7 linked regions of the Rattus norvegicus genome follow. The protein of the gene in region 2 purifies or fractionates together with the protein of the main gene of each other region. This does not show direct contact. Links are inferred from orthologs where the notes say so. Each region holds a gene or a part of one and is shown on either strand. Other genes may lie near its edges. The genes, in order: Ilf2, Hnrnpa1, Ddx5, Hnrnpc, Ddx28, Hnrnpr and Ddx17.

Region 1 (4,139 bases), on a different chromosome or scaffold from region 2:
AGGCCCTGGGTTCAGTCCCCAGCTCCGAAAAAAAAAAAAAAAGAGCTGCCCCTGATAAAAAAAAAAAAAAAGCCAGATGGCAATGGTGGCACACACTCAGGAGGCAGAGGCAAGTGGGTTTCTGAGTTCCAGGATAGCCAGGGCTACAGAGAAAAGCCCTGTTTAAAAATCCAAACATAAATGAAGAAAGAAAGAAACTAATTATAATCTACCATGTAGTATAATATACACATTGAGCACTCTGGAGGCAGAGGCAGGCAGATCTCTGAGTTCCAGGCCAGCCAAGGTTTTATACACACACACACACATACACACACACACACACACACACACACGCAATGTCTCAAAGTAAATAAATAAGTCCTAAAAATATTTTTTTTTAAAAAAAAGGTATTTTCTAGGGTTGGGGATTTAGCTCAGTGGTAAAGCGCTTGCCCAGCAAGCACAAGGCCCTGGGTTCGGTCCCCAGCTCCGAAAAAAAAGAAAAAAAAAAAAAAGTATTTTCTAGACAAATATTACAATCAAACTGTAAAGAAAGTATCTTCCCTGCCTTGCTTACACTCTTTTCTAAGTTTTGTTCTTATTGAGACGGTTCATTTGTAGCCCAGGCTGGCCCTGAACACTAACAATGGTCCTATTGCTGGGGTTTCCATTGCTGGTATCACAAAAGGACTTCATTCTCTTTAAGACTGGCTGGGCTGGTGAACTGGCTTGTTTTTAATATGTATTTATGTATATGCGAGTGCCACAGTGTGTGTATATGCATCCTGTGTGCAAGAGCCTGTGGAAGTCAACAGAGACGTAAGAGCCTTGGAAATCAGAGTTACAGACAGATGTGCACTATGTACGATGTAAGAACCGGGAAAAACTTGTGTCCTCTGCTAGAGCCATGTTAGACCTGTAGTTATAGCTCTAAGTAGATTGCAATATATAATAAATACAATAATAAAATAAAACCAGTTAATGGGGTATACATGTAGCATGTTCACATCTCTAGCACTCAAACTAAGTAAATAAAAACTTACAGCAGGGGGGCTGGAGAGATGGCTCAGTGGTTAGGAGCACTACTGCTCTTCCAGAGGTGCTGAGCTCAATTCCCAGCAACTACATGGTGGCTCACAACTGTCTGTAATGGGATCTGATGCCCTCTTCTGGTGTGTCTGAAGACGGCTACAGTGTACTTATATATAATAAATAAATAAATCTTAAAAAAAAAAAAAACTTACAGCAGATGAATGCCTGTAATTCTAGCATTCAGGAGGCTGAGGCAGGAAGATGATGAATTTGCAGTCAGCTTGGTATACATAGAGTTCCAGGCCAGCCAATCATACAGAAGACCCACTCTCAAAGAACAGATCCATTCTTGAATCCTACTCCAAACAGTATCTAACGTCATTAACAAGGATTCTGGGCTTCTACACCTGTAAGTGAGCAGTAGCCAGTCAAGTTCTCCAAAGCCAAAATACTCACCAAATAGAAATCAAAGGGGATGTGGGGCACAAAAGGCCTGAACCTGAAACATGAAAACAATCCAAAATTATTCAGGCAGAAAGCAAGCAAGAGAATTCTGTCTTAAGAATTCAGGCATTTCTGGGGTTGGGGATTTAGCTCAGTGGTAGAGCGCTTGCCTAGGAAGCGCAAGGCCCTGGGTTCCGGTCCCCAGCTCCGAAAAAAAAAAGAATTCAGGCATTTCTAAGCTGCATCATTCTTAGCAAAAAGCCAAATTCACTTTGTAGGACATGAGGAAAAGAAATGCTTCGAGTGGTTTTCACAAAATCAAACAGAACAATCTACTCCAAACTCCTATCTACTGAAACAAACCAAGGCAAAGACGTGAACAGCCACACTCACCCTCCTCCAGGACCTCCTCTGGAACCAAAGCGCCCACCACGACCACGTCCTCTGTCACCCCTAAAAGTACATACATTTTACTCTCATGTTGCTGAAAAAGGTTTCCATCACACCATCAATGTTATTTCAATGTGACTTACCCTGACCCCCCTCCAACTACTGAAGTCGACAGATATATCATGCTCACTTCTCCCCGATTCCAAATGATGTCCAGTCCCACTCTCATGACATCCTAATTCTGGACTTTTTTTTCTTCTGTTTTTGAAACGGAATCTCATGTATCTCCTGCATTACCTCCCCCCACCCCAAGACTGCATCCTGAGCCACCACACCCCACTTCTAATTCAGGATTTTATCAAAACTCACATCAGGAAAATACGAGTTTCAGAACCTGACATACATACCCCTACTAAGTAACCCACGATCCTGAGGCACACGGGTCGTAATATTCAGGGTAAGGTGACTTCTCATTTATTAATACAGCATACCAGTTACGAGACATGTCCAATTGGTCAAACACTAGGCACCAGAAAAATGTGCAGCGCTCCAGCCTGCTCACTGCGCACGGAGGGTGATCTTCCTGGTCCGTTAAGACCTCTCCTCCATCCCCCGAGACCCAGGAATCAACACAACTGCCCTGCTGGGGCCCGGCCCCCCTCCAGGCCCGATTCCCCGAGTCGGCCAGCCTCCTCCTACTCCACTCTCTCCGGCCCGGCTTTCCGCCGGCCGCCCAGATACAGGCCCTTCTTCCCCCGACTCCATTTCAGCCTGCTCCCCAACTCCAACCCCCCATCCCTCGAGGCTACGGCAGGAACTTTCAAGCACCCTGTCTACTTACCTCATGGCTCGCTTAATCCTGAACAATGGAGACCACTCAACCGCTCTTCGCTTGGAAGAATCAAGGTAACAGAGAAACGTCGGGTCGGCGTGTCCCAACAAACGCCTGCGCGATAGGCTCCCGCCTCACTCCGTCCCGTGCGTTTATTGGTTAACCCAGCAACCAATGGAAATGCTCTGTAAAGGAGTCAACCAATAAGAAGACATACCAGGGACAGAGGCAATTTCCCCCACTTACAGTAGAGGGCGTTCAGAATTTGAGGCTGTAAGCAGGTAAAGTCTTCTATGGTAATACAAGCATAGCCTACCAGTAGGTAGCAGAGTGGCGCAGCGGAAGCGTGCTGGGCCCATAACCCAGAGGTCGATGGATCGAAACCATCCTCTGCTATCGGAGACTTTGTTTTTCTTTTTACGGGTGAAAATACAATTAAATTTTTCCATAGCAAGAGATGTGGGGTTTTTTTTCCTTCTCCAACTTTTTTTTCCAGACAGCGTCTTGCTTTGTCACCCTAGTTTACATAATACTCGTTAATGTAGCCTGAGCTGTCATCAAACTCTTAGCAATCTCTGCCGTGTGCCGCCTCACTTGAAAACATAACTTTTACCTTACGGAAATATCAGAAATAGTTCCATTTCCCACCATTTTTTCCCTCAATATCATTACTGTTATATGATTCTTTTTTATTGAAAATTGTCATACAATTTTTCTTGATCATGTATTTCTCTTCCCCAGTTCCACCCAGATCCTCCCTCCCCACTTCCCTATGCTAGGTGATTCTGACAAGTATTGATGTATTATTTACTTTTGTAGGCATCTATTCCTTCTAAGTAACCTCATTAAAATAAGGAATACTTTATCAGGTCGGCAAGGTGAGTCGGCAGGTACAATCGCAACTACCTGAGTTCGACCTCTGGAGACTCAGTGATGGAAGGTGAGCCGCGATCTGCATTTTGTCCTCCGACCTCACTATGAATGCCGTGGGTGTGGTGACACCCACAAACACAACATAAATAAATGTAACGGAAAAAAATTTAAAGGATATTTTGGTAAACATGGTGGAGCATGTCTTTAATTCCCGCACCTGGGAGGCAGCGGCAGGAGAATCTCTGTGAGTTCAAGGTCAGACTATTCTAGGTAACCAGTCCATGCCAAGTAAGTCTACATAGGGAGATCCTGCCTCACAAAAACAGTATTTTATCATCTCAGAAAGATAACCATACTGGATTTCTACTATCGTGGGTTAGGTTTGCCTTTAGATTTTCTTTTTATTGGGGCTCGATCAGAGATGACTCAGCAGTTCTTTTTTTCGGAGCTGGGGACCGAACCCAGGGCTTTGCGCTTCGCTTCCTAGGCAAGCGCTCTACCACTGAGCTAAATCCCCAACCCTAAGTTCAGTCAATCTCTAAAGTCCTCTAGGGGATTGTATTCACAAGCACGTATACATATACAC
Region 2 (4,295 bases):
AGTTTCTCTCAGTGGCAAGTTAGAATCGAAGGTCTTTGTGTACATATTCTAGGTCAAGACAGACATTTCTTGGATATATCAACTAAATGCCTGAAGTCCCAGCAGAAGGTAGACAATCCAGCTATGTCTCTAACTACCTCATGTGGAAGGAAGACACTAACCACTCATCCACCTACTCATTTTGGGGGAGGCGGCCCCAGCTTAAAGCCAGGAGGAGGTAGCATAGCAAGCCTATTTGCACGCACCATGCAATGTACCTACAATGCTCTAAGAGCCAGCCGTGAAGTCTGAGACGGGCATAAACCCTGGAAGTCTCATCTAGCTCCGCACCAAGTACCTGCGTCACTGGATACCTACCACTACCACCGCCAAAGCCGCCTCCGCCTCCTCCGTTGTTATAGCTGTCATAGCTGCCACTCCCGCCATAGCCACTGCCCTGGTTTCCATAACCCTGTCCACCACTTCCATAGCCTCTGCTTCCTCCAGAGTAACCAGGGCCGCCTCCTCCATAACCACCTACAAGAATACAAGTCTTCTCAATAAGACAAAAGTATTTAACAAGAAAAATCTACGCAAGTTAAATAGCTAAAGGCTGCTCAGGGCATGCATTTTACGGGGCTGACTGAACTTTGTCATGCACTAGGTTTAGTCTCTAGTAGCCTATTCTAAAGGTAGAGGTCGCCAGAAACCACTCCTTACAGACTCCTTAAGAAACTTACCATCATTGCCAAATCCATTATAGCCATCCCCACTGCCACCATATCCACCACCACCACGGCTGCCACCAAAGCCACCTGGAAGAAACCAAAGCTTTAAACCAGGCTTTGTACGTGAATGAATACTTATCAAATATCAAAACCTGTAAGTGCTGGGGACACAGGGTAGCAATTACTAGTTATAAGTTCTAAAACCAACAAGGAGCCAAACAAAGCCATACACACCACGACCACTGAAGTTCCCTCCTCGACCAAAATTGTCATTGCCACCGAAACCACCTCCACGACCACCACCAAAGTTTCCGGAACCACTTCGACCTTAAAAGAAATTTTGGATCATTAGGTTAACCTGTAATAACTAACAGTGTCCTCCTCACCCCAAGTCTAACCAAGCAATAAACACACCTCTCTGGCTGGATGAAGCACTAGCCATCTCTTGTTTCGACAGAGCCTTTCTTACTTCACAGTTGTGGCCATTCACAGTATGGTATTTCTGAACTAAGAGGAAAAATTAAATTCAGGACTTTTAAAAAAACATGTGAACTCCAGAATCATAAAGGAAAATGTAATCCTCTGATACTTACTAACAATCTTATCCACAGAGTCATGGTCATCAAAGGTGACAAACGCAAATCCCCTCTTTTTTCCACTGCCTCTGTCAGTCATAATTTCAATCACTTCAATTTTCCCATACTGCTCAAAATAATCTCGTAGGTGATGTTCTTCAGTGTCTTCTTTAATACCGCCAACAAAGATCTTCTTCACAGTTAAGTGGGCACCTGGTCTCTGAGAATCCTAAAAGGAAAAATGACTCCAGTTATTTAGTAGCAGCACATTCCTAAATGATTGACACCTGTGGTGGCACATGCCTTTAATTTCACTCAGGAGGGAGGATCTCCCAGTTGAGATCTGCCCCATTACAATCTCAGGTTAAAAAAGAACCAGCTATTAGGAAAAACCACTCACTTCTCTTGACACAGCTCTCTTAGGTTCCACAACTCTTCCATCCACCTTGTGTGGTCTTGCATTCATGGCAGCATCCACTTCCTCCACAGTGGCATATGTGACAAACCCAAAGCCTCTGGATCTTTTGGTGTTTGGATCTCTCATTACCTGTTTAGAGTTAATTCAATCAACACAGTGCCTGATCACAAAGCCAAAAAGTCATTCCTAGTCAGAGCGCTGCAAACATGAAACTCCATCCAGAGTCAGAAAATAAAAAGCTCTTTTACAGATCTTGTTAGCAAAGCTCCACAACGATGATTTTTAGTATCCCATTAATTAACTTCACAAAACATTTAGCTAAGAAGCGTCAAGGTTAAATCAGAAGAAATAAGGCAGCTCTTCCTTTTGTTTTTTTAAATCTTACCACACAGTCGGTGAGTGTTCCCCATTGCTCAAAATGGCTCCTCAGACTCTCGTCGGTTGTTTCGAAGCTCAGCCCTCCAATGAAGAGCTTCCGCAGCTGTTCCGGTTCCTTGGGGGACTAAAATAAAGTGGGGGAAAGAGGGGGCTTAGTGGAGGGCCTGAAACTTGGGCGAATGAATCAACACCATTCATCAACACACGCCACACTTTTTTATTGTTCTTTATTACTGCACAAGACCACGTGCTCCTTCCTGGGCTTGACTGGGGACTCGAGTTGCACGCGGCGCATGCGTCCTGTTACTTCATACGCAGGCGCAACAAAAGACACAGGTTGGTCTGGTCCATCGCCATTAAGACTTAGTATCTCTTTAACAAGAGATCATTAGACCAGATAGGGAAAAACGAAAAAAAGGCCACAAACCCCAGATCGTTAAGTGTAAGAATTCTGCCAAAAGGAACAGTGCGTAGAAACTAATGGCTGTCGGATCGCAGCCTCATGGTGACTATGAGGACAAAATGGCGACCTGCATTTTTTAAAGTAGGCCTCAGCAGTAATCGATCAAACACCGAAAGCACGGGAGCCAGCGACAAAACAGGTCACATCCCGTCATATTCAGTAAGTGTGGAAGAAAGCGAAGCTGCAGAGCGCGCTCAACTCACCTCTGACTTAGACATGACGGTAGGATGATGAGAGCGTTCAGCGATGCTTCCTCGCCAGCGTCAAAGAGCAGAAAGGAATAAGATAGCGAACGTGTCCGGCAGCCTACCTTCTGCTCTCCCTTTTATCCCGCCTCCTCGCTTTCGGCATTGGTAGACTCCGCCCTTGCTTCAGTCTTATTGGAGATTTGAAATTGTTCCCTCCCACCATTGGCCTGTAAAAACGCCCTGCTAAGAAACGGCATCCGTTTGGGCGTTCTACTCAGTCCCCGCCCCTTTGAGTCATTGACGCCCCAAGGGATCTTATTCTTAACCACATTGATTGGCTAGCTAGCCAGTAATTTATATTTGAATGTACTCACGTCTTTAAATGTGTTTTATACCTTCCCCACACCCGAATGTTACAAACTCACTCGGCAAAGGACGATACGTTAGAAAGTAGTTCGCCGCGACTTTTCCCAGCTATAAAGCGCATGTGTAATAAAAATGGCGAGTTTACGCCGGCGCAGTACGAAGTTCCGCCTGCTGTCTGGAACACGTGAAATGGCGGGCGGGAGAGGGATACGAGGTTCGTAGGCGCCTGCGTAGTGGAGGGACCTGTGTTCTGTTTTGCGCAGGCGTTTTGGGCGGAGAAAAGGTCCAAGCCCGGGATTGGTTGCGCAGGCGCAGGGAAGGATCCGTTTTGGCGGGCGGTTGGCATTGCGCAGAAGGCGGCGGTAGCGGTGGCTTGTGGTGCCGCTTTGCCACAGAGGAACCGTGCAGGCCTTAGTGTGAGTGATCACTTTAGATCCCGGGTAAGTGGCAGAGTCTTGTCTACCCGTACGAGATCTTGAACCTGCTCCAATTGCACCGGTTATTGTACGAAATGAATGGACCGCTGAACTGGGGGGGGGGGGGAGACGACGGTGAAGGGGCCGCGACGGGTCGGGCCAGCCAATAGGACAACTGGGGCGGGATGTTTTATCCTTGCAGGTTCGGTGAAGCTGCGTTGCCGAAGCGTTTGACTGGCGAGTGTATAGGCCAATTGGGTCTTCCTATAGCTGCCTACCAACCGGTCCTTGGGCCATCGGAATGTGGGAGGCGGGTTTTTCTTGCCTGAGTTGCGTCTCTCCGAGCCAATGAACCCCAAGCGCGCCATAGGCCGGCCTTCCCCAAGAGGCAGAGGCTGGACTCCAGTGGGGAGCGCGGGAGTCGGTAGGTTAAATTCATATAGAGCAAACCTGGAGCCAGTAGGACAGACTACTCTCAAAAAATAAAGCTTAGTCTTGCATTTGTGGGGGCGAACATTTAACTAAAATGACTCCTATAATTAAGGCATTCATTCCGTATATTACCTTAAGGAAAACATATGTTTTCTTGTACTTTTTGGTACAAAAAGTTTCACCCTTCACTTAGACTCTAGAGGACGTGCCTTTATTCTTTGGAAAGAAGAATATTAAAATTTTACAGTGAAATGAATACTTTAATGAAAAACATCCAAGAAAAATAGACTTAACCACTACCACCCGTTTCCAGGGCCGCTGTATTTGTACTTGTATCCCTATGAAAGTTTTT
Region 3 (4,200 bases), on a different chromosome or scaffold from region 2:
TCTGAGCTACTCCAACCATATCCAATCCACTGAGAGCAACTGGCCAGCCCTGAGCTTGGATAGCAGTGGGTTCAGTGAAGTTCTGCCTTGCAATCACATCCATGACATTTGCTGCAACCAACAATACCATTTTAACAAAAACTTATAGGCAAAAAAAGAGGGAAAAAACGTAAAGGGTTAAAGATAAAATTTATTCCTTACCAGGAAAGTTTGCTTCATAAAAATTCAGAACAGGTTTTGGACAGTTGTGACCTCTGACTGTAATTTCCTTGCTTCTTCTGTACGTATCTACCTCTTGCTGAAAAACAAATGATCTTGGTCTCAGACCTAGGCCAGATACACCGACAAGTTCCCTACAGCTCAGTTACACTCATTTCTAACTATCTGGACCCATAAATGGAACTCTACTTAGCAGTAAAAATCACAATACACATTAAAAAAAAAAAGTGTCTATGAAGCCCAAATAGGCTGACAAGCCTGTTTCCCCAGTGATGTTTCCCCAGAGATTAACATATGGCCATTACACCTGGCCAATACACAAGAGAAAATTCAATGGGAAGTCAGACAAGTAATTCTCCAAATAATCTGCAAGGCACCTGCTAAGTTTCCATCTAATTGATCAGAAGTAGTTACTACTGAGTTATAGCACGATGAAGCCACATTTAAATACTCACTGCGGTGCGCCTTGCCAAATCAGGGTGTTCCTGATAAAAATTCTTCTCAAATTTGGGCAGCTCATCAAGATTCCACTTCTTTTTAACTAGTTTCTCCCCAGGATTTCCAAACTTCTTTCCAGATAGGGGTCCTGTTCTACTCCCTCCAAATCGAGGTGCACCAAACCTACAAAAAAAAAAGTTAGGTACATTGTGAACAGACTTCTACATGAACAGGTTTGTCTCCACATTTCATTTAATGTCTCTTGATCCGAGCCAAAGTGTGCCTCTGGAATCCTTCCCAACTGTCATTCTACGGACAGCCACAACTGGCAGCGTTTCTTTTCTGAAGTCCCAAGTACACTCTAATGAGGCCAAATAAACAGCGTGGGATCTATCAGGTCCCAAACTGCCCAAACGTCTGAAGTTCAGATTACAAGGACAACAGCTAGAGGCTCCCTCTTCTCTCCCCACAGAGCTTAGGAATTAAGTGTCTAGGAGCTGGACAAGAAGGGAGGAGCTTAAGAAGGTTATTTTTGCCACTGTTTTCATCAAAGGGCCTGATCTTAAAGAAATAACGGGACTGCGCAGGCAACGTGAGTGGCTATGGGAGGACGGTACCGCGGGCAGGGTAGAAAGGGGCACACGCGCCAGGGAGCCTTGTTTTAGGAAACGCCGCGAACGGCTGCAAATCAAGGTAACAAAATTATATAACGCGAGGGAGAAAAAGAGGAGGAGTCGACGGCAACCGGGGGAGGAGTCCCGGCCCGGGCGGCGTTCCCGCTGGGGCGGCGCTTCCTTCTTTGTCTCGCATTTCTCTCTGCGCCACATTTTCTCGACGCTGCCATTTTGAGCTCCTCCGCCGGGCGGGGTAACAAAGGCGCCGCCGCCATGTCCGAGGCCGGCATTTTGTGGCTGCGGCTCAGCCACATGGCTGAATCCGCTGGCGTAGGCCACCCTACCGGGCACAGACGGCCTCGAAAGCGCCCCTTGTATTCTCTGGGGACCCCGGGGGCCCCCCTAAAACCCCCAGCGAAAGGCTGCGCAAACGACGCCTTGAGCCGACTCTAAGGCGAGGCGCTTCCCTATCTAAAACACCTCCGGGCTTCCCACAACAGCCGCGAGGTCGCCCAGGCCGCCGTCCTCCCAAACAAAAACCAAGGTTGAACCCAGTTACCAGAAGCGTCGCCTTTAACGGCTTTTTAGCCGGATGTCAGAGAAACGCAAGGCCTCCTACCAGAAAAAAAAATCTAAAGGTCGGTTGGAAAGCCGAGCTTCTGCCGCGCCGCTCTCCCATCCCCCACCCGCCCTGACAGGTCCCTTGTTATACTCACCCTCGATCCCGGCCGCGGTCTCGGTCACTAGAATAACTCGACATGGCGTCAATGGTTGCGGTGTGCTGGAGGAACCCAGTGAAAGAGAATCCAGTTGCGACGAGTCGCTGAAAGGAGGCCTCGGCGACGGCGAAGCCTTTGCGGGGGCGTCACCAGCGGAGGGACGGCGGTGACGAGGGCCGGAGCTGTAAACCCAAGGACCGATGGAAATGAATGAGGTGCCGGCTGCGTCCGGGCAGCCGGTTTTATAGTCTGGACCGCCTCCTCGTCGCAAAGGATGCTGGGAGCCGCTCTATGACCTAATCACCCCGCCCCCTGGCTCCAAGGCCTCAACGCCCGCTGGCGTTCCGGAATCCGCCATGTTCTCGCCCCTCCCCCCCGCGGGCGCTCCCTCATAGGCGCCCGTTTATTACTCGCTTCTCGACTGGGTGACACCACTAGAATGCCCCGTCCCACACCCTTTTGGCTACACCACCTTCTCGCCTTGCTACATGTCAAACAAGCTTCTTCCCCGTGGCCAACCAGTCATTAAAATGGCCAGCACCAGCCATCCTACTGTCTCTACTTGAAGATGTTTACGTCTTCACAGACTCCCCCACGCCCATAACCAAAGAAGACGGGGGAGGCGGAGCTTGGCGTTGTCACGTGATTGTACCCTGGGCAAGGCGTATCGCACTACTTTCTCGCTTGCCTTCGGCGGAGGAATACAAAACCACAAACTCACCGGAAGCGCGGCTCTAACGCCCCCAGGAGATCGGCCGGGCTGCTGGGTGACCTGGCTGCCCTGCACGCCGATCTGAGAGCCCTTAAGCGGGATCTTGTCCGCGGGGAATGGTATCTGGAGCCCGCAAACTGCCGCCTAAGCGCGTGCTGCGAAAGGAAGTGCTTCTCTTCTGACCAATCAGCGGCGAGAAGCCGTTTTAACGTCCCTCCCTTTTCTACCCCTCCTTCCCCGCTCTCTGGTTTCTACCCCCTCCTACTCCCTTCGGTTCTACCGGGTTCGACCCTTCCAGGACACCGTCGCCCGCGCTCTCGTCTTGGAGTCTGGCCGCGACCTCACTTGGCAGTATGGCCAGCTCAGAGGCTGGTGAGTCTCGGCCTGGAGCCCTAGTGTTTTTGTACTGCAGCATTCCGCAGGCCTCGGGCTGAATCTGAGCCATGTCTGGGCTGCTGGAGAGGCTCGTGATGGTTGGACACTAGTTGCAGTCGCAGGGAATCTCTAAATTTAGGGTCTCACCCTCGAGACCTCATGTGTTTTCCAGGCGTGGAATTGAGACTTGGGATGAGACAGGAGCTCATTGACAAGGCTGGGATACCCTCATCCTGTTTTTACAGAGCAGTCAGGATCCTTCTTGGATCCGAGTTTCTGTGGGGTATCTAGCCACAGACTGTCTCTCCTTCCCCTTTGGTTTGTTTGGACTAAGGTTGAACCTATCTATATATATTTTTTCCTTTTGAGGCATAGCACTCATAAGATCTTTTGATGCCCTCTACAGTAACTGGCTTTGTCTAGTACAGCCTTTAAAAAGCCAATTGACTCGGTTGTCTAGGACGCTTTCCTCGTCCTTTCCAAGACAATACAAAATGGTTGTCATGGCTTGGTCAGCTGTGCGCATTGGGCATTGGAAGGAGGGCAAAATGGGCATGACACATTCAGACTACTGTCTCCAGAATGTCTGACTGTACTGGAAATGTGACCAATTCTAAAGTGCTTTCTAATATCCAGTCATTTCAGGATACAGGCGTTTCAAGCTTTCGGAATTATTGCTGAAACCCTTAATCGTTAGTCCTGTACTATCTGGGGGAGGGCACGAGCTGTTTTTGGAAAAGAACAACGGGGAGCTTGATTAGGATTATTAATGTGCTAGTTTAGAGCTTAGCGATTTGGCTTTTTTTTTCTTTCATTTTTACCTTCGTACACATCAAATATAATAAAAAAGAAAACTAACAAATGCATTAGTGTCGGTGTTGTCATTATTCAAATTCCTAACAGCCTAAATTAATCACTTGTTTGGGCACCCGAGAGATCTTACTTATACAAGATAATTGGGTAAAAACATGTCTAAAAACTACTGGGAATTCAGAGCTACCTCCATTAATTTCTAGCAGTTTTTAGGTTTTCATTTACAGCTGTCTTACGATATTCCTGGTTACCTATAAATTTATTGTAACTAAAAACACCCATGTGAGTATAAAAATACCGGTAAATAGGA
Region 4 (4,008 bases), on a different chromosome or scaffold from region 2:
CTACTTTCAGCAATGACTAGGGTTAAATGAGAACTCAAAATTTCCATATAAAGTAGTAGTTTAGCTTGTTTTATATCTCAAAACAAATCCAGAAGTCTAATTTACTGGATACTTACATAGTTTTACACAGCCAAGATTTTTCAATTGTAGTTTCCCTAGTTAGTAACTTCCACTCATCATCTATAAGACTGTAACGAACTATTTAGGAATATATTCCTTACTTGCTTGAACAGCCATGCCCATTTATAACAAGATCACAAGCCAATAAATCTAGAGATCAAATTGCAAACATGTTATAATTACTCTACAGAAAAAATAGTAACCATTACCAACCATTTTGGAAAATGGCTTGACCATGGCAAATGAGAGATCCAAACCTTGCAATTTTAACAGCTTCCTCCCAAGTCAAATCAAAAATGTAATTTGAGTCTGGCCTCAAAACTCCAAGAAATCCACATGTTCTACCAGAACAAGGTGCCTACCAAGCCTGGCCTACATTTATAACACTTAATGGCAAGTATACATCAACTACTACCAGTAACCTTGCATAACTTCTGACATTTATAATACTTTCTCTTACCTAGTTTTCACTGTTCACCAGGCAAAACCCTGTACTCTATCTACTTTTTAAAGGCACATGCCTTTAATCCCATCTCTTACTTAGGCGGAGGCAGGTGGATCAGAGTTCAAGGCCAGCCTAATCAAGACAGTGGGTTCAGAAAAGCCAGGCCTATTGCACAGAGAAACCAAACAAAAAATGTGGGAGGCTGTTTTTTTTTCCTTTGTCTGCATTTGTTCTTCTTTAGACAGTCTTAATACTCCAAGCTGGACCAAGGATGGCCTTGAACTCTTCCTACCTCTATCCCCCAAGTGCTCAAATTACAAGAGTAGGCCATGCACATTCCATGAAGTATGCTTAAGAGTAAAATGTGTGTATAGTTTAAACTAAGATTAGTAGCATATTTTTGTCACTTAATCAAACCCATTGTTTTCTGTATAGCCCTGGCTGTCCTAGAATTACTAGATTTACTCTACATTCAGATCTCCTGCCTTCCTAGTGCTGAGATTAAAAACTGTGCCAGAGTGAAATACCAATTTTATAATAAGTTTATCTAATGAAATAACTCCCAGGTAAGTTAATGTGACACAAAAACCCTTTATTAGTATGGGAGATTGAATCCTGGGCATCTTGAATCCTAAGCACTATCACTAGCTATATTTAAAAGAACTCGGACGGAGGAGATGGCTCAGGGGTTAAGAGCACTGACTGCTCTTCCAGAGGTCCTGAGTTCAATTCCCAGCAACCACATGGTGGCTCACAACCATCAGTAATAAGAGATCTGATGCCCTCTTCTGGTGTGTCTGAAGACAGCAACAGTGTACTTATATAGAATAAATAAATCTAAAAAAAAAAAAAAAAAGAACTCAACACCTACAAGAGAGCAACTACTTTAATTTTTAAACATGTTTTACTATGTAGTCCTGGGCTGCCTTGCAATGGGATCTTGCTCAGGATCTTCCTGTCTCTGAACCTCCAGAATGCAAACATTCCGGGCCTGCACTACCATAACTAGCTGTAAACTGCTTTTTTTCCATTCTAGATGGGTAGGATTAATACTGGAGTATCTGTAAACTATTTCTGTGCCTTTTAATTATTGTTCCCAAGTCCAGATTGAAAATGTCCTGTAAATTTCGGTATCAGGTTCCTCTAAAAAGAAAAACTCATTCCCACCCCACCCCCCTTTTTGAGACAGGGCTTCTCTGTGTAGCCCGAGCTGTCCTGGAACTCTCTCTCTGTGACCAGGCTGGCCCACAACTCAGAGAGATCTGCCTGTCTCTGCCTCCCAAGTGGTGGGAGGCATTTGGCGTGCACTGTCACCACCTACCGGCTAAGTCTCTTCTTGTGTATAGTCTATTCTAGTAACTTGACCTGCCTAGAAATATCTTAGTTTCTCTACTACTGATTTAGTCCGGTCCTGTCAACCACTTTTAAGTCTCACTTCTCTCTAGGACAGCAGTACCTACCTCAAGCAAAGTTCCACTAACTTATGTGATTTGTAACCTGCAGATAAAAAGCTGTAATTATTCCAATTACAATTTACCTTGGGCACTTCCCTTTACAAACCAAAAGCACTCCCGACTTTTACCCATCTATCCCTTGAAGAAAAAAGTAATCACTACTTAATCTATTGTTAAAACGCCGTTCAGATGCCATGTGGCCGGCCTGGAATTTAGAAGCTTCCAGTACTACACCACCATGTTATCGCTCCCCCACCCACGCCCGACATTTAGCTTAGAAGACAATAACGGAGTAAGAGATTCACTACAATTACATTAACAAGCATTTCGTTCTTCGCTTTCTTGCTCCCCTGCTCCCCCTTGGAATCCTAATGGGGGAAGGAAATGAAAGTAGCCGTTAAACACCAGCGCGCAAAGAGGGTATTTTCGTACGCACCGTGGCCTAGAGGTCACTAGGTTGAACCTGCGCCAAGGCCGAGGCCTGTTGCCTCCCGCCTTAGACCCAATCCCCAACGCACAGGAACAAACGCGGCCTCGGTTTCTGCCGCGAGGCCGTTTTCTCGCCTACAACCCCCTCGCGGGGCCCAGCAACCCAGGGCCTCCCCTGCCCTCGCCCTCTCCGCTTACCAAGAGGAAGGAGAGAGAGAGAAGAGCCTGCCTCTCCTACTGCGGGTCTACGCCGAGAAGCCGGAGCTACAACAGCAAGGAACCACACGACCGTTCGCTCTCCGTCTCTTCACAAAATGGCCCCCGAGCTCCTCTGCCGCCGAGGCAAAAGTCCAGCCCCCGCCCCGCTCCCGGAGGCGTTTCTATTGGCTGTGACTTTTCTCGCTCCCGCTCCTAATTAGATAGCGTTACCGCTCCTCACAATTCCGTCCAATCATCACACGAGGTGGGTTGGGCTAATTGGGAGAATTTCCACATGCGTAACAAAAGCTACTTAGTAATTGGTTAAGCTTTCTATCACTTAGTGTCTGACGGATGGTTATTGGTCACTGTACCAGACGGAAAGCTGGGTGGAATTTTCGCCTTTGTATCGCGCACAGCTTCTCATCCGGGTATCCGGCGGACCTGACTGACGGCCGTGTCGTCCTATCAGTGCTTCCTAGAGATCCTAGGTCCGGCCAGATCACCGCATTTCCGCGGCACGGAGGTGGGAAAGCCTGGGTGGAGTCTGGTAGCGGGTGCAAAGGGCCTGCCCTAGCCTCAGGCCTTGGAAAAAAAGGGAAGTGCAAACAAGCTTTAGAGAAGGGAGGATCGTAATCCCTAGGCCGCCTGAAGTGTTAAAAACTAAACAGGTCTGCAGTTATTTTCAAATTCAGATCCCCTCTCATTGCCAGATTCTATAAGCTATTGGAAGGACGTGGCCTTGTCAGTGAACAGCTCCCTCCAAACCAACTGGTTTCCATAGTTCTCTCCTATAAGAGCAATTGCCTAGACCCCTATAAACCCGTTTCCTGGGCCCAAGTCGTCACACAATCTGCAAAACCAATGGCCAGCCGCCTCAGTTTCCCACTTCCTGCAATAGCTTGATACTACTTAACCCCCTCAGCTCGGCCAGTAAAGCTCTGGTTACACTGTAGAAACATTAAACAGGCCAAAAATGTATATAGCCTACTGAGAAAGGGAAAGAGTACCCCAGGAAATTTCCTGATTTAAAAATAAAAAATAATCTTTTAGGTCTTCTTTAGACCTTTAAACCTTTGACATTTTCAAAGGATTTATTTTAAATGTTCCAGTCCAGCGAGTTTATGTGTTCCCAATTTTATTTTATTTTTTTTTTCTTTAAAGAAAGGTTTGGGCTAGGCGGTATTTCTAGTGCAAGGCCAGTCTACTCAAGTTTCAGGACAGCTAGGGCTGTATAGTGAAACTCTCTGTCGAAAAAACAATAAATATAAGTACCTAGGTAGAGGTAGGTAGGTAGACAGACAAATGGGAAGCCCTTCATGGCTAGGCTTGCGGGCCATTGAACCCCAGGTTCCTTCTGTT
Region 5 (3,881 bases), on a different chromosome or scaffold from region 2:
AAAAAAAATCAAAGCAACACAACCCAAGCCAACAAATCCCATGTGGTAGAGTATAAATCATTAAAATCTACTGAATTCTCTTCAAATGGTGGTTACTATTAAGGCTGTCCCCACAAAACCACTGTTAGCTAAGTGAACTCAGAGATCCACCTGTGTTTTGCCTCCTGAGTACTGGATTAAGGCATGTGCCACCACCAGGAAAGGGACCCTGTCTTTAAAAAAAAAAAAAGAATGGAAGATTACTAGGGACCAAGTCCATTGTGTGATATACAGTGCCAACTTGTTTCAAAACACACATACAAATAGTTTTTTAGAACTCATGATGTGTGGTCCATTGAGATAGCTCAGTGGGTAAAGGCACTTGTCAAACAAGCAGGATGATCTCAGTTAGATCCCTGGAACACAAAAAGGTGGAAAGAGAATACTGACTACACAGAATTGTCCTCTGACCTCCACACACACACATACAATTAGAAGAAAAAGAAACCATGACATTATGTAAAGTCAACATCCACTTTATTTTTTATTTTTTCGGAGCTGGGGACTGAACCCAGGGCCTTGCACTTGCTAGGCAAGCGCTCTACCACTGAGCTAAATCCCCAACCCCCCACTTTATTGTTTGAATGTTACTCTCCATTCCTGTCTAGTAGTTTATTTTTCAGATCTCGAAACAATTCATTATACTGCAGAGAGGCGAGGGGCTGGTATGACCCAATGTCATCAAAAGACAAGTGTTCAACTTTCCTGGACCTCCAAGAAGATCCCTGCTCTATTGTAGGTTTAAGTCAGCCAAAAAAGTCAGTCTTGTTGAGGCAATGGGTCCCTCACTGAAGATGTTAGTCCTGGAAGGCTTCTCCTTCTACGAGCTGCCAGTTCAATTTTCTGAACCAGGCTCACATCCCAGGGATGGGTCACAAAACTGGTAACAGTCCCCGGCACTTCACTGCCCACTCGACCCACCCTTCCTGCTCTGTGGATGTAATCCTGCAGAGTAGGGGGAAAATCATAATTGACAACCATTTCCACGTGGATGCTGTCTAGGCCTCGTGAGGCAATGTCTGTGCAGACAAGTATGTTTTGGGAGCCCTTCTGGAAACTCTGGAAGATACCTGCCCTCATTGAGGCTGGCATTTGCCCTTGCAGCCTTAAATGTTGGATTTTGTGGTCATCCAGAATGTACCCAAGCCAGTTCACGGTGCTGGCGCTGTTGCAGAATACCAGGACAGTTCCCGAGGGTTCTGCCTTATTTGCTTTGTCATGCTGTTTGAGGATCTGAATCAGTTCTGTCACCTTCTCTGTTCCCTTTAGTCTCATAAATGTCTGTCTGACATGAGGCATGATGCAGTGGAGCTTGGAGCTGGTGATGGTGGTCAGACTGTCTGGGCTGGTGACTTTACTCAGCAATTGGTTTAGGCCTTCTGGAAATGTGGCTCCCACCATCACTAACTGAGCTTTGGGATTAAAGGGGTCTTCTAACTCAGCTGGACTTTCTGCTATAGGGCTCTTTCCCAAGATGTAGTCCACCAGTTCCACGAAGCTTTCATCTAGCAGCGTGTCTACTTCATCCAGCACTATGAAGTTAAGATGATGTAAGCTGATCAGTTGACTTTTCAGAGCCTTCCACAGCGCCCCTGGAGTAGCCACTAGCACATCTGCTGACGGCCATTTACCCAGCTGAAGTTTGAGCCTATTCATTCCCAGGCCTCCGCCAAGTTCTATAACCTGCAGGTCCAAGTACCTACCCAATGACTGGGCCACTGCCTGCACCTGTTCGGCTAATTCTCGGGAAGGTACCAGAACCAAGCCTCGAGGAGCGGTGGAACTGCGGGAGTCCAGCTCTGGCCCTTTTAGGAGCCGTTGAAATAGGGGCAGTAGATAGCTAAGCGTCTTGCCGCTACCGGTTTCAGCAGCGCAAAGGATGTGGCGGCCGCGAAGCAGTGGGGGAATGGTTTTCGACTGCACGGAGGTTGGCTGAACAATTTCGGGGACAGCCTTCTGAAGCGCGAGCAGTACTCGGGGTTCTAGACCCAGGTCCACGAAGTTGCCCCGGGACGAGAGGTTCCTCATGGCGGGCGCCTCTTGCTGCACTCGCTCTATGGAAAAATGGTCCTGACGCGATCGCCGATGCTTCCAGCCACGCGAAGCCAGTGGTGCCCGCTCCCAACGGCCCAGCGTGAGGCGTGCGGGCTGGTTCAACTCTGGCCGCTTTGCCGAGACCAGGAGTGGACCAGGTTGCACTAGCACCGGCCGTTGGAAACTCCCACGGTCGCTCCGTCGCTGTTCCTGCCGTCGCTGCAGAGCCCGCGGAATGCGCACAACAGGCAAGGACTGGTCGGAACCGCGCAACACTATGTTCCGTCGAGGTTCCAGAAGCAACCGGACTGCTAATGATAATAGCCGCGTTGGCCCGGCTAAAGCCATATTTCTCTTGATGCAGAAGAGGCGCATGGTAGTGACGTCACGTACGCGACTGTAGTCTGAAATACGGTGGCTGGCGCAGATCAGTGTCACGTGTGGCTCTGCAGTACCGTCTGGAAGGAGGGAGGATCCTTAAGAGTTCAGTGGCTGTGAGGTCTGTAGGTTTCCATCCGGCAGGGCGATGTCCAGACTGGGGTCATCTTTGGGGACGGGTACTCGGTGGAAGAAGGAGTGGGAGTCCGCAATAGGAGGGGGACATGGGTCCCTGGCTCAAGGAATCGAGTGAGGATGGCCTCTGTCAACTGAGTGCTTAATTTCTGATATCTTACCTGTGGTCGTCATTGCCCCGACCTGTTATTCCATAGAACTTCAAGGGTACAAAGTACGACGATGTAGATATGCGCATCGCTCAAAACCTCGGTGATGCAAGTTTCCCGAGAGTCTGAATGAATGATAGGCCTGGGGACTGAAGCAAAAGTTGGAAGTCTGGGTCCAGGCTCAGCCCTGTTCTCTAGAACCCAGAGTGCATGCTGGTGGTCTTCAACATATTTCGTCTATGAAGGGAGAGAGATGGTCTCAGTTCTTTCAGGTGTAGTTTCTCATTTTTTACACTTCTTTTCCAGGCAAGTTTCACTCTCCATTCCTTGTCACCCCTTCATGATTTTTCATTCTCCATTCCTTGTCACCCCTTCATGATTCTCAGACTGGACTCAACCACTCTTAGAGTCTGCTCATATCCCACTGGCTTCTCAGGCAGATTCTAAATTGCCTGACTAGAAGTAGAAAGAAGAAAGGGTCCCGTTACCCTTATGAAGTGATGAAAGCTTATTTCACATAGTGCTGATCAAGCAGACTACTTGACTTGAATAGTGGTTCAGGTTATTAAATTTTTATTTATTTATTTATTTTACTTCATACTTCTTGAACACATCTGAAAAAAATATGGGCGTCAGATGTCAAGTGTCTGGAGTGGGAGATAAGGTCAATGTTTGTGGACTGAATACTTAGGAGGTTCCTAACATCTGGAGAAAGTGTTTTAATTTCATTCACTAGGTGGACATCTGTGGATTTTTCCACTGTAAAATGAAAATATTCATGAAAAATTGTGTCTGTACTAAATATGTATATGCATTTTTCTTTGAACTTACTCCCTAACAATACAGTATACCAAGTATTTACATCGTGCTTATATTCTATTGGTCATAAGCAATTTACAGATGATTTAAAGCATGTGCGAGAGGGTTGGAATGTAGATTAGTGATACAGTGCTTGCCTATTAGCATGTGAAGTCCTGAATCCATTCCCCCTAAAATCAAAGTATATATGCGTCTATGTAGAAATTTTATATAAGGGCTTGAGCATCCTCAGATTTTGGTATCTTTGAGGTTCCTAGAACCAATCTCCTAGTAGGTACCTATTGATGAAAGTACCATTAAAAAGATTAACATTTAGCTGAGCATAGT
Region 6 (3,500 bases), on a different chromosome or scaffold from region 2:
GTAGCTCAGTCTGATCGGGAACTCACTGTAGAGCCCAGGTTGGTTCCAAACTCAAGGTGATGCTGCCTCAGCCTCCTGAGTGTTGAAGTGAAAGGCTGGGATTTTTTTTCTCTTAGGAAAGAGCTGTCGTATTCTAACTGCTTTCTTCTTTCTTTTGAATTTTTTCTGACCTTAGTGCATCTATAAAATGGTCCTGGTTGTGCCTACAGCGGTTGTGTAGATTAGATGAATTCATATGTAAAATATCTACCCTCCCCAGTCATCATTATTATTACTAACCTAGATAAACTCCTTTGAAAGGCAAATAGGCTTTTGCTAAAAGACCTAGTTAAAGGGGTATTGACAAGGTTGCAGTTGGTCACCCCCAACCCCAAGCCCTGGGGATCTAACCCAGGGCTTTACACATGCTAATCGAATGCTTGGTTCTAAGCCGCCCTCCCAGATTTAATTTGAATGGTATTGAATTTTGGTGTTGTTTGCACTGGTGGCTCCTGTTTAGGTCTAACTAACTTTGTAAAGCATCTTTACACTTTTCTCCTCCATTCTCATCTGTTTATAAAGTAATTTAGCTGAATTCTTTTTTTTTTAAAGATGTAATTATTTATATGAGTACAGTGTCGCTCGCTGTCTTCAGACACACCAGAAGAGGGCATCAGATCCCATTTCAGATGGTTGTGAGCCACCATGTGGTTGCTGGGAATTGAACTCAAGACCTCTGGAAGAGCAGTCAGTGCTCTTCTTTTTTTTTTTTTTGGAGCTGGGGATCGAACCCAGGGCCTTGCATTTGCTAGGCAAGCAAGCACTCTACCATTGAGCTAAATCTCCAACCCCATCAGCAGTCAGTGCTCTTAACCGCTGAACTATTTCTTCAGCCCCCTAGCCAATTCTTAGATAAATTCCAAACAACTGTATAACAACTCTGATTGGCTAACACCACCCCTGTCCCCCAGCCCCCTGGTAAAAAAAAAATGGAAGGTTCAAGACATCCATCCCTGTGGAATCATATGGTTAACTAAATTTAGCAAACATAAATCTGGTGTTGCTTTGTATAATTAAATACCTAACATGCAAAGCCCTTCTCTTTCTTGGTAGAGTACATATTTTGTTTGCCAACAGAAGATATTCTATAGGCCTTTCATAGGAAATTTCACATGAGTGTTATGTAAACTATAGTGCAAGCTCTTTGGGGGCAAGGGCATCTTCTGTTAACTAATGTTAATGAGGTGGGACAATTAAATAATAAGGTTTCATTTTTTTTAAGTCAGTATATTTATTTGGTAGTTACCAAATTTAGAGTCTACCCTGTGAGATACTTCAGTTGTGCTGAGCTTGTGGTTTGGTAAGAATATGAACAGACAAATGGAATAGTTAAGGGCAGTCGTGAGCTGTGTGTATTCTGGGAACTAAACCCAGGAGTTTGCAAAGATCAGCAGGTGCGCTCAATGTTAGAGCTGTCTCTTTGGCTACCCCCTTTGAAATAGTTTACTGTTTTCTTTAATTGTATGTATATGTGTGTGTCTGAGTGTGGATTTGTACACATGACTACAGTGTCCATGGAGGCCAGAAGAGGGTGTTGGACTCATTGGACCTGGAGTTACAGACAGTTAATAGTGACATGTTTAGCATGTTTCCTGTGAACCAAATGTGTGTCCTCTGGAAGAGCAGTAAACTCTTAACTGCTACGCCATCTCTCTAGCTCCTCATTTTTCTTTTTCTCTTTTTTGGGGGGTGAGGAGGGAGTTCCAGACAGGGTTTCTCGTGTAGCTCTGGCTGTCCTAGAACTTACTCCATAGATCAGGCTGCCCTCAAACTCAAAGATCTGCCTGCCTCTGTTTGCTGAGTACTGGGATTAAAGTCATGCACTGCTGCTGCCCAGCCCCATATATGTGATACTGGAGAAAGAATCCAGTGCCTCATGCATGCATGCATGCATGCATGCTATATTTCTAGCTACTCCTTTTAAATTAGCATAAAATGCATTTCATAAGATGTTATAGTTTGTGTGTGTTTAACATGTGCAATTATTTTTAGGCCTTGCTCGAGAGGACTGGTTATACTTTGGATGTAACCACAGGACAGAGGAAGTATGGTGGGCCTCCACCAGACAGTGTGTACTCAGGTGTGCAACCAGGAATTGGAACAGAGGTCAGTGCTCTTATTTATCCCTTTGTGGGAAATCTTTCTAGTCTATTAAGTGGATTATCGAGTGTATGATGTGGGCAAAGTACTTGATTACTTTCAAAGTGTGGCTAGTGTTATATTGGTAGTATTTATGTATATTTTTTATTAGCAAAGGTAACTAACCTTGGTATAGAAATCTTTCTTGCAAGGTTTATTTCATGTATAAAGTACACTGTCGCTTTCCTTAGACACACCAGAAGAGGGTGTCGGATCTCATTACAGATGGTCGTGAGCCACCATGTGGTTGCTGGGAATCGAACTCAGAACCTCTGGAAGAGTAGTCAGTGCTCTTTAACTGCCAAACCGTCTTTCCAGCCCAGTATAAATCTATCTCTCTCTCTCTTTTTTAATTGCATTTTTTAAGTTTACAGTTTAAATGTTATCTTCCCCCCGCCTGCCTCCCATATCTTAAAGCAAGAAATACAGACAATTGTTGGAGCTTACTGCTAAAGGAAAAGTAGTTTTTAAGTTTTTTGTCCTAGAGATCGAACTTGGGCCCTCATTCGTTCTGAGCATGTGTTCTACCAGTGTGCCATGCTCCTTGACCTAAGTCTCCATTTGCAATGATACTTTAGTATGTAGCCTAGGCTGCCTTGACTTCTGAGGGTAGGGGTTGTGGGCATAGGCCACTGGACTCAGTTCATGTTTATTTTATTTTAAGACAAAGTCTTACATGTAAACTTTCCTGATCTAAAGTGCTCTGTGTAGATCAGGCTTGCCTTGAACAATTGGCAATCCTGTCTGCCTCTTGAATGCTAGGGTTGTGCTGGATGAGCCATCACGTCTAAAACATTTTTGTTTTGAAATGTCAGTACTTCTGAAACTGTGTTTGTCATTACTCTTCGCTTTCTTTCAACACATAAAATGCACTTAGAAATTAATGAGAGGGGAAAGTGTAGGTGTAGAATTGAGAAGATTTGAGCACATCAGTTCATATGCAGATTGAAAAGTAAGTGACTCCTTAGGCTTTTGTAAAAGTTTCTCTCTGGCTCATTCCTCCCCCTTCCCCCCTTTCTGTATATAGTCCTGGCCATCCTGGAACTCACTCTGTAGACCAGGCTGGCCTCAAACTCAGAGGTAATTCCTGCTCCTACCTCCTGAGTGCTGGGGTTAAAGGAGTGCTCTACCTCCCTCCTCCCTGGCATGCCTTCCTTCTTTTGGTTTGCTCTTGTTGTTTTTTGAGACAGGGTTTTATGTAGCTCAAGCAGTCCTAGAGCTCACTAACTTATAGTCCTCCTGCTTGCACCACCAGGGTGCTGGGATGATAAGTTTTCTCCACAACAGGTTTACGTAGTGCTGAGGCTCCAACTCGGACTCTG
Region 7 (4,290 bases), about 23 Mb from region 2:
TAACTCGAGATCCGCCTGTTTCTGCCTCCTGAGTACTGCGATTAAAGCAAGCATCGGCTTCCCTTCAGTGTGTGGTGGTTGTTGTTGTTGTTGTTGATATTGTTGTTGTTGTTGTTGATGTTGTTGATGTTGGGTGTGCTAGGTATTGAATCCGGGGCTTCAGTCATGGTCAGCAAGCACTTTCCCACAGCCTCTACACCATTTTCTTTTCCATGTTAGCGAAAGTTTAACATAGAGACTGGAGAGATGACTCAGGTTAAGAGCACTGACTGCTCTTCCAGAGGTCCTGAGTTCAATTCCCAGCAACTACATGGTGGCTCACAACCATCTGTAATGGGATCTGATGCCCTCTTCTGGTGTGTCTGAAGACAGCGACAGTATATTCACATACATAAAATAAATAAATCTTTAAAAAAAAGAGTCTGACATAAACATTTGTCATCTGTCTCCTCTCCGTCTCTAGAGAATAGAGCTCTGAGCAAAGGAATGTGTTGGTTCCCCAGTGCCCTAGCAACTATCGAAATGCATGGATTTCTGTGACTTTCTCTATGGCCCAAATGACAAATGAACAGCTTCTCAAGGGCTTTCAATAAGCTAAGCAACACTCAGAACCGGAGACAAGACTCAGTCTTCAGGCTTCCATTCTCCGCGTCTATAGAAATGAGCCTAGAGGTCTCAAGGAATACAGCAGTTTCACAATTTTATAAAGCAAGTATGACCAAGCTTGTGTGGCTTGGCAGTGTGCAGGGATGGCAAGCAAAGAAAGTAATCTAGGAGTTGGGTGGTACCCGTGGCCTAGCCCAGCCTGCCTTCCCCGGATTGGGTTTGCAAATCCTCACCTAGAAAACGCACCGTTTCTGCAGTCGCGGACCCGTGTGAGTCACCCATTTTAATGATGGCTAAGGTTCAAAGCGCCCACCTCAGAAAGGACTCTGGGAAGGTGTGGCCTCCGTATGAGGCATCAACTATGGCCAGTGGGAAATGTGACAACACTCTGTACGGAAAAATGGCACCTTAACATGAACTGCGGGAAACACTGGATGTCTTTTAGCCTAGCTGGGTTGTTGCCCGCTTTAGAGAGCGACACGATGCATCCAACATGGCTGCGGCGCCAGCGCGGCAAAAAGCAACGGGAAGGAAATGGCGCCGGGGCGTGTGGCTAGCTTGGGGCACAAAGGGCGCTGGGGCGAGGGGCCGAGGCCAACCAAGAGGGTCTCAAGACTTTCAGGGTTCTACGGCCCACAGACCCCGAAGCCTGACCAAAGCAACATGGAAAGCGACCATTGTGTCTGCACAAGGCTGGCATCAAGGGTCGTTTGAGCTCGGAATGCCGGGATAAGTCGATTCTCTAAACAGAATGCGCTACGAAGACTGCGCATCCTCGCAATAGTGGGCTGGCCAACGACGCAAACAATGTTACGTCGTGCCGACGGCTCGCCCCACCCCCACCCAACGTTCTAGAGCTGGCGGCGCGAGAACGCTACGCCGGTTGCGCACACTGCCTTATTTAGGTGGACCAACAAGAGCACTCATCTCCGTCACCGGCGTAAAGCCATTCCTAGAATGTCTGTAGCATCGCGCGCAGCCCTCCAGGCGCTGTTTACGTAGCGTCTCGGCTGTGCGTAGCGTTAAGTTGGAGCAGTCTCAGCGGCCGCCGCCATTTTGTGCAGTTGCTGGGAAGGGAAGGAGACGCCTAAACCGTGGCACCGCCCGGTTTGAGCGTGACCAGACCTCCCAACTGTACTAACAACCCCGATTCTCTGAGTTTTGCTCCCGTCTCCGACGAGAGAGGCGGCGACGGTGGCGTCTGCGACGGGAGACAGCGCGTCGGAGCGAGACAGCGCCGCGCCTGCCGCCGCCCCAACAGCGGAGGCGCCGCCGCCATCGGTCATCACTAGACCAGAGCAGCAAGCCCTCCCGAGCTCGGTCATCCGTGCCCCACTCCCAGATCTTTATCCGTTTGGGACCATGCGCGGAGGCGGCTTTGGGGATCGGGATCGTGACCGGGACCGTGGAGGGTAAGGGGGAGGTGCAGGCGGGGGGCGGGGTGGCCCGCAGAGCCTGAGGCTCGGGACGTACAATGGCGGCAGTGCGCGGGCCTCAGGCTCTGGCGGGCGCCTTTGCGGACCGCGGTCCTGGCTCGGAAGTGGCAGGCCAGCCTGGTCTCCTCTCTTGGCCCGCTCGCTGGTCATTTGATACCTGCAAGCTGGCCCTCGCGTCTTATGGGGAGAACAGTTTTCATCTAGGAAAAGCTGCCTTGAATGGTTTCCTTTCCGCTATGTTAGCCATCCCTTTTAGAGAAGGACTAGAGTCGGAAAGACCTTTTTGAATCTAAACTAGGTTTTACTACCCTTGTGTCTTATTTTGGTTAACTGGAAGCAGTTTGGAATAGGAAGTGCTGGAGTTGATTTCTAAAAGATCGAAATTGGGAGAGCCAAGAGGCAGGTGACTTTTTAAATTGCCTTTTAAAGATCCAGTTGATTTTGAAGCCTAAGCTAAGAAGTTTTGTTTTTATTTTTTTTTCTTTTTTTTCGGAGCTGGGGACCGAACCCAGGGCCTTGCGCTTGCTAGGCAAGCGCTCTACCACTGAGCTAAATCCTCAACCCCCTTTATATGTTTTTTTAATTAGTTAACGTACGAAGCTTTTGGTGGTGTGTTGCCTGAGAAATCCTTGAATATATGCCCTGGAATCAATACATCCAAAAGCTTATGCCAGCTTTATTTCTGACACCTAGAGAGTGGAAACACTTCGCGTCTAGATAAACTCTGGGTGCTTTTTGTTTGGATACGATGAAAACTTGGCTAGTTGTGGTGGCAAATCGACTCAGGAGGCAAAGACAAAACAGATTCAAAGCCAGCCTGATCTGTGTAGTGAGTCCCAGGACTACACAGGGAGCCCCTACCTCGAAGGAAAAAAAGTCTTTGAAAGTAACCAAGCTGTTGAAACCAAAAGAACCCCTTGGGGTGACACATACCAGTAATCCCTGCATTTGAGGCTGAGTCAGGAGCTTGGAGTTAAAAGCTAGCCTGGGCTACACAGATCTTGTCTCAAAACAAGGGAATGGTTAACAGTTCAAAGTGAGGGGCAGTGGTAGAAAAAGGAAATTCGGTTAGAAAACGCCTTGTAAAAGAATCTTAATTGTAGAAGCTTTATTTTCTGCTGGATCATTAAGATGCAAGCAGTTTTGGATTCTAGCAAGCACAGTGGACATACATAGGAACCACATTACACTCGTTTGAGTTAGGCTTAAAACCTCTTAATGATTGGGTCTTGGCTATTGCATGATTGAAAAAGAACTGACTTTCTTGGAAACGTTTTAGAATTCTGTTTGTTACTTCATTTGCAAGTGGAGTGAGGCAGTCAAATGAGAAGCCCTTGACACTGTAATATTGAGCTGAAAAGCCTGAGACCTTAAGGTCTGGTGGGTGTACTCAGTTGTGTATTTTTCTTTCTAGTTGTGTTGTTTTAGCAGTGGTATTAAGTCACCCAAATTCTGCCTACTGAATGTAGATACCCAATGAATTCCAGAAACGTTTCTGGCCATAAATCATTGCAGGGTGGGTTTGTCTCAGTGCTGTGTAGCTTAGTCTGCCCTGGTTGACCTGGAATGTGTCTTCACTGTGCCAGTGTCCAGAGTTCAGAAACAGATGTAGGCCACCACACCAGGCTCTAACAGAAGAGAATATTATTGTCTTGTGGGGTTCCTGCTACCTCTCCCAGTATTACCAGTCTTGACATTCTTTAAAGTAGCTACTATTGAATTTTCTCCAATGCTCTAGTGGTTTACAAGGAATCAGGAGTGAGGTCCTGCAGGGCATGGTGGAAAGAGAGGCCTAGGCCTCCAGCACAGCCAAGGCTATGATAGAGTCTCAGAGAAACAAAACTAAAAAGGAAATGAGTTTTTTTTAAGGCCCTGTACTACATAGATTAAGACAAATAAAGAGGTTATAATAGGACAAATTAGAGGTTATGTTATATTGTTCTGGGAAAAGTAGTTTCTGATTTCTTACATCTTAGCTTTGGCAAGTGGCCATATCTGTATTGTTTAGCTTATCTGTGGTAAACGGTATCTAAAGACAAGACAATTTAAATTTGTTTGAAGGGGTTTTGTTTTGACTCCAGGTCTCTTTGTAGACCAGAACTGGCCTTGAGCTCTGACCTTGTCACCAGCTTTCAAGGGCTAGGATTACACATGTTCAATTCAATACAATCATTAACAAAACAAACACCTGTAACCTACATGTTGGTGAGGTTTTTGGTTTGTTTTCCTCTGTAACTAAATATTAGTT

Evidence for each region.
Region 1: the proteins of Hnrnpa1 (region 2) and Ilf2 purify together in Homo sapiens (affinity purification with mass spectrometry; 4 studies listed by BioGRID and IntAct, with this or other methods). This does not show direct contact. The link is inferred for Rattus norvegicus from reciprocal best matches to the Homo sapiens genes HNRNPA1 and ILF2.
Region 3: the proteins of Hnrnpa1 (region 2) and Ddx5 purify together in Homo sapiens (affinity purification with mass spectrometry; 4 studies listed by BioGRID and IntAct, with this or other methods). This does not show direct contact. The link is inferred for Rattus norvegicus from reciprocal best matches to the Homo sapiens genes HNRNPA1 and DDX5.
Region 4: the proteins of Hnrnpa1 (region 2) and Hnrnpc purify together in Homo sapiens (affinity purification with mass spectrometry; 8 studies listed by BioGRID and IntAct, with this or other methods). This does not show direct contact. The link is inferred for Rattus norvegicus from reciprocal best matches to the Homo sapiens genes HNRNPA1 and HNRNPC.
Region 5: the proteins of Hnrnpa1 (region 2) and Ddx28 purify together in Homo sapiens (affinity purification with mass spectrometry; 3 studies listed by BioGRID and IntAct, with this or other methods). This does not show direct contact. The link is inferred for Rattus norvegicus from reciprocal best matches to the Homo sapiens genes HNRNPA1 and DDX28.
Region 6: the proteins of Hnrnpa1 (region 2) and Hnrnpr purify together in Homo sapiens (affinity purification with mass spectrometry; 7 studies listed by BioGRID and IntAct, counting the BioPlex papers as one, with this or other methods). This does not show direct contact. The link is inferred for Rattus norvegicus from reciprocal best matches to the Homo sapiens genes HNRNPA1 and HNRNPR.
Region 7: the proteins of Hnrnpa1 (region 2) and Ddx17 purify together in Homo sapiens (affinity purification with mass spectrometry; 4 studies listed by BioGRID, with this or other methods). This does not show direct contact. The link is inferred for Rattus norvegicus from reciprocal best matches to the Homo sapiens genes HNRNPA1 and DDX17.

The regions. Positions count from the first base shown.
Region 1 is NC_086020.1:178,255,588-178,259,726, reverse strand, and holds the start of Ilf2 (interleukin enhancer-binding factor 2), read right to left. Parts: upstream 2,801-4,139; 5' UTR 2,695-2,800; coding exon 2,690-2,694; intron 1,912-2,689; coding exon 1,852-1,911; intron 1,514-1,851; coding exon 1,471-1,513; intron 1-1,470. UniProt on the Homo sapiens protein: Chromatin-interacting protein that forms a stable heterodimer with interleukin enhancer-binding factor 3/ILF3 and plays a role in several biological processes including transcription, innate immunity or cell growth.
Region 2 is NC_086025.1:136,252,623-136,256,917, reverse strand, and holds the start of Hnrnpa1 (heterogeneous nuclear ribonucleoprotein A1), read right to left. Parts: upstream 2,801-4,295; 5' UTR 2,760-2,800; coding exon 2,745-2,759; intron 2,701-2,744; exon of another isoform or gene 2,343-2,700; intron 2,203-2,342; coding exon 2,086-2,202; intron 1,830-2,085; coding exon 1,683-1,829; intron 1,512-1,682; coding exon 1,301-1,511; intron 1,215-1,300; coding exon 1,122-1,214; intron 1,035-1,121; coding exon 942-1,034; intron 795-941; coding exon 720-794; intron 517-719; coding exon 358-516; intron 1-357. UniProt on the Homo sapiens protein: Involved in the packaging of pre-mRNA into hnRNP particles, transport of poly(A) mRNA from the nucleus to the cytoplasm and modulation of splice site selection.
Region 3 is NC_086028.1:92,229,129-92,233,328, forward strand, and holds the start of Ddx5 (probable ATP-dependent RNA helicase DDX5), read right to left. Parts: upstream 2,801-4,200; 5' UTR 2,712-2,800; exon of another isoform or gene 2,701-2,711; intron 2,604-2,700; exon of another isoform or gene 2,463-2,603; intron 2,173-2,462; 5' UTR 2,032-2,172; coding exon 1,988-2,031; intron 841-1,987; coding exon 675-840; intron 299-674; coding exon 202-298; intron 112-201; coding exon 1-111. Other genes in the region: Cep95 (centrosomal protein of 95 kDa), read left to right, coding at 3,056-3,074. UniProt on the Homo sapiens protein: Involved in the alternative regulation of pre-mRNA splicing; its RNA helicase activity is necessary for increasing tau exon 10 inclusion and occurs in a RBM4-dependent manner. Binds to the tau pre-mRNA in the stem-loop region downstream of exon 10.
Region 4 is NC_086033.1:27,279,916-27,283,923, forward strand, and holds the start of Hnrnpc (heterogeneous nuclear ribonucleoprotein C), read right to left. Parts: upstream 2,801-4,008; 5' UTR 2,647-2,800; intron 2,063-2,646; exon of another isoform or gene 2,026-2,062; intron 1-2,025. UniProt on the Homo sapiens protein: Binds pre-mRNA and nucleates the assembly of 40S hnRNP particles. Interacts with poly-U tracts in the 3'-UTR or 5'-UTR of mRNA and modulates the stability and the level of translation of bound mRNA molecules. Single HNRNPC tetramers bind 230-240 nucleotides.
Region 5 is NC_086037.1:50,819,143-50,823,023, forward strand, and holds Ddx28 (probable ATP-dependent RNA helicase DDX28), read right to left. Parts: upstream 2,432-3,881; 5' UTR 2,422-2,431; coding exon 799-2,421; 3' UTR 501-798; downstream 1-500. UniProt on the Homo sapiens protein: Plays an essential role in facilitating the proper assembly of the mitochondrial large ribosomal subunit and its helicase activity is essential for this function. May be involved in RNA processing or transport. Has RNA and Mg(2+)-dependent ATPase activity.
Region 6 is NC_086023.1:153,833,019-153,836,518, forward strand, and holds part of Hnrnpr (heterogeneous nuclear ribonucleoprotein R), read left to right. Parts: intron 1-2,031; coding exon 2,032-2,145; intron 2,146-3,500. UniProt on the Homo sapiens protein: Component of ribonucleosomes, which are complexes of at least 20 other different heterogeneous nuclear ribonucleoproteins (hnRNP). hnRNP play an important role in processing of precursor mRNA in the nucleus.
Region 7 is NC_086025.1:112,986,948-112,991,237, reverse strand, and holds the start of Ddx17 (probable ATP-dependent RNA helicase DDX17), read left to right. Parts: upstream 1-1,490; 5' UTR 1,491-1,968; coding exon 1,969-2,018; intron 2,019-4,290. UniProt on the Homo sapiens protein: As an RNA helicase, unwinds RNA and alters RNA structures through ATP binding and hydrolysis.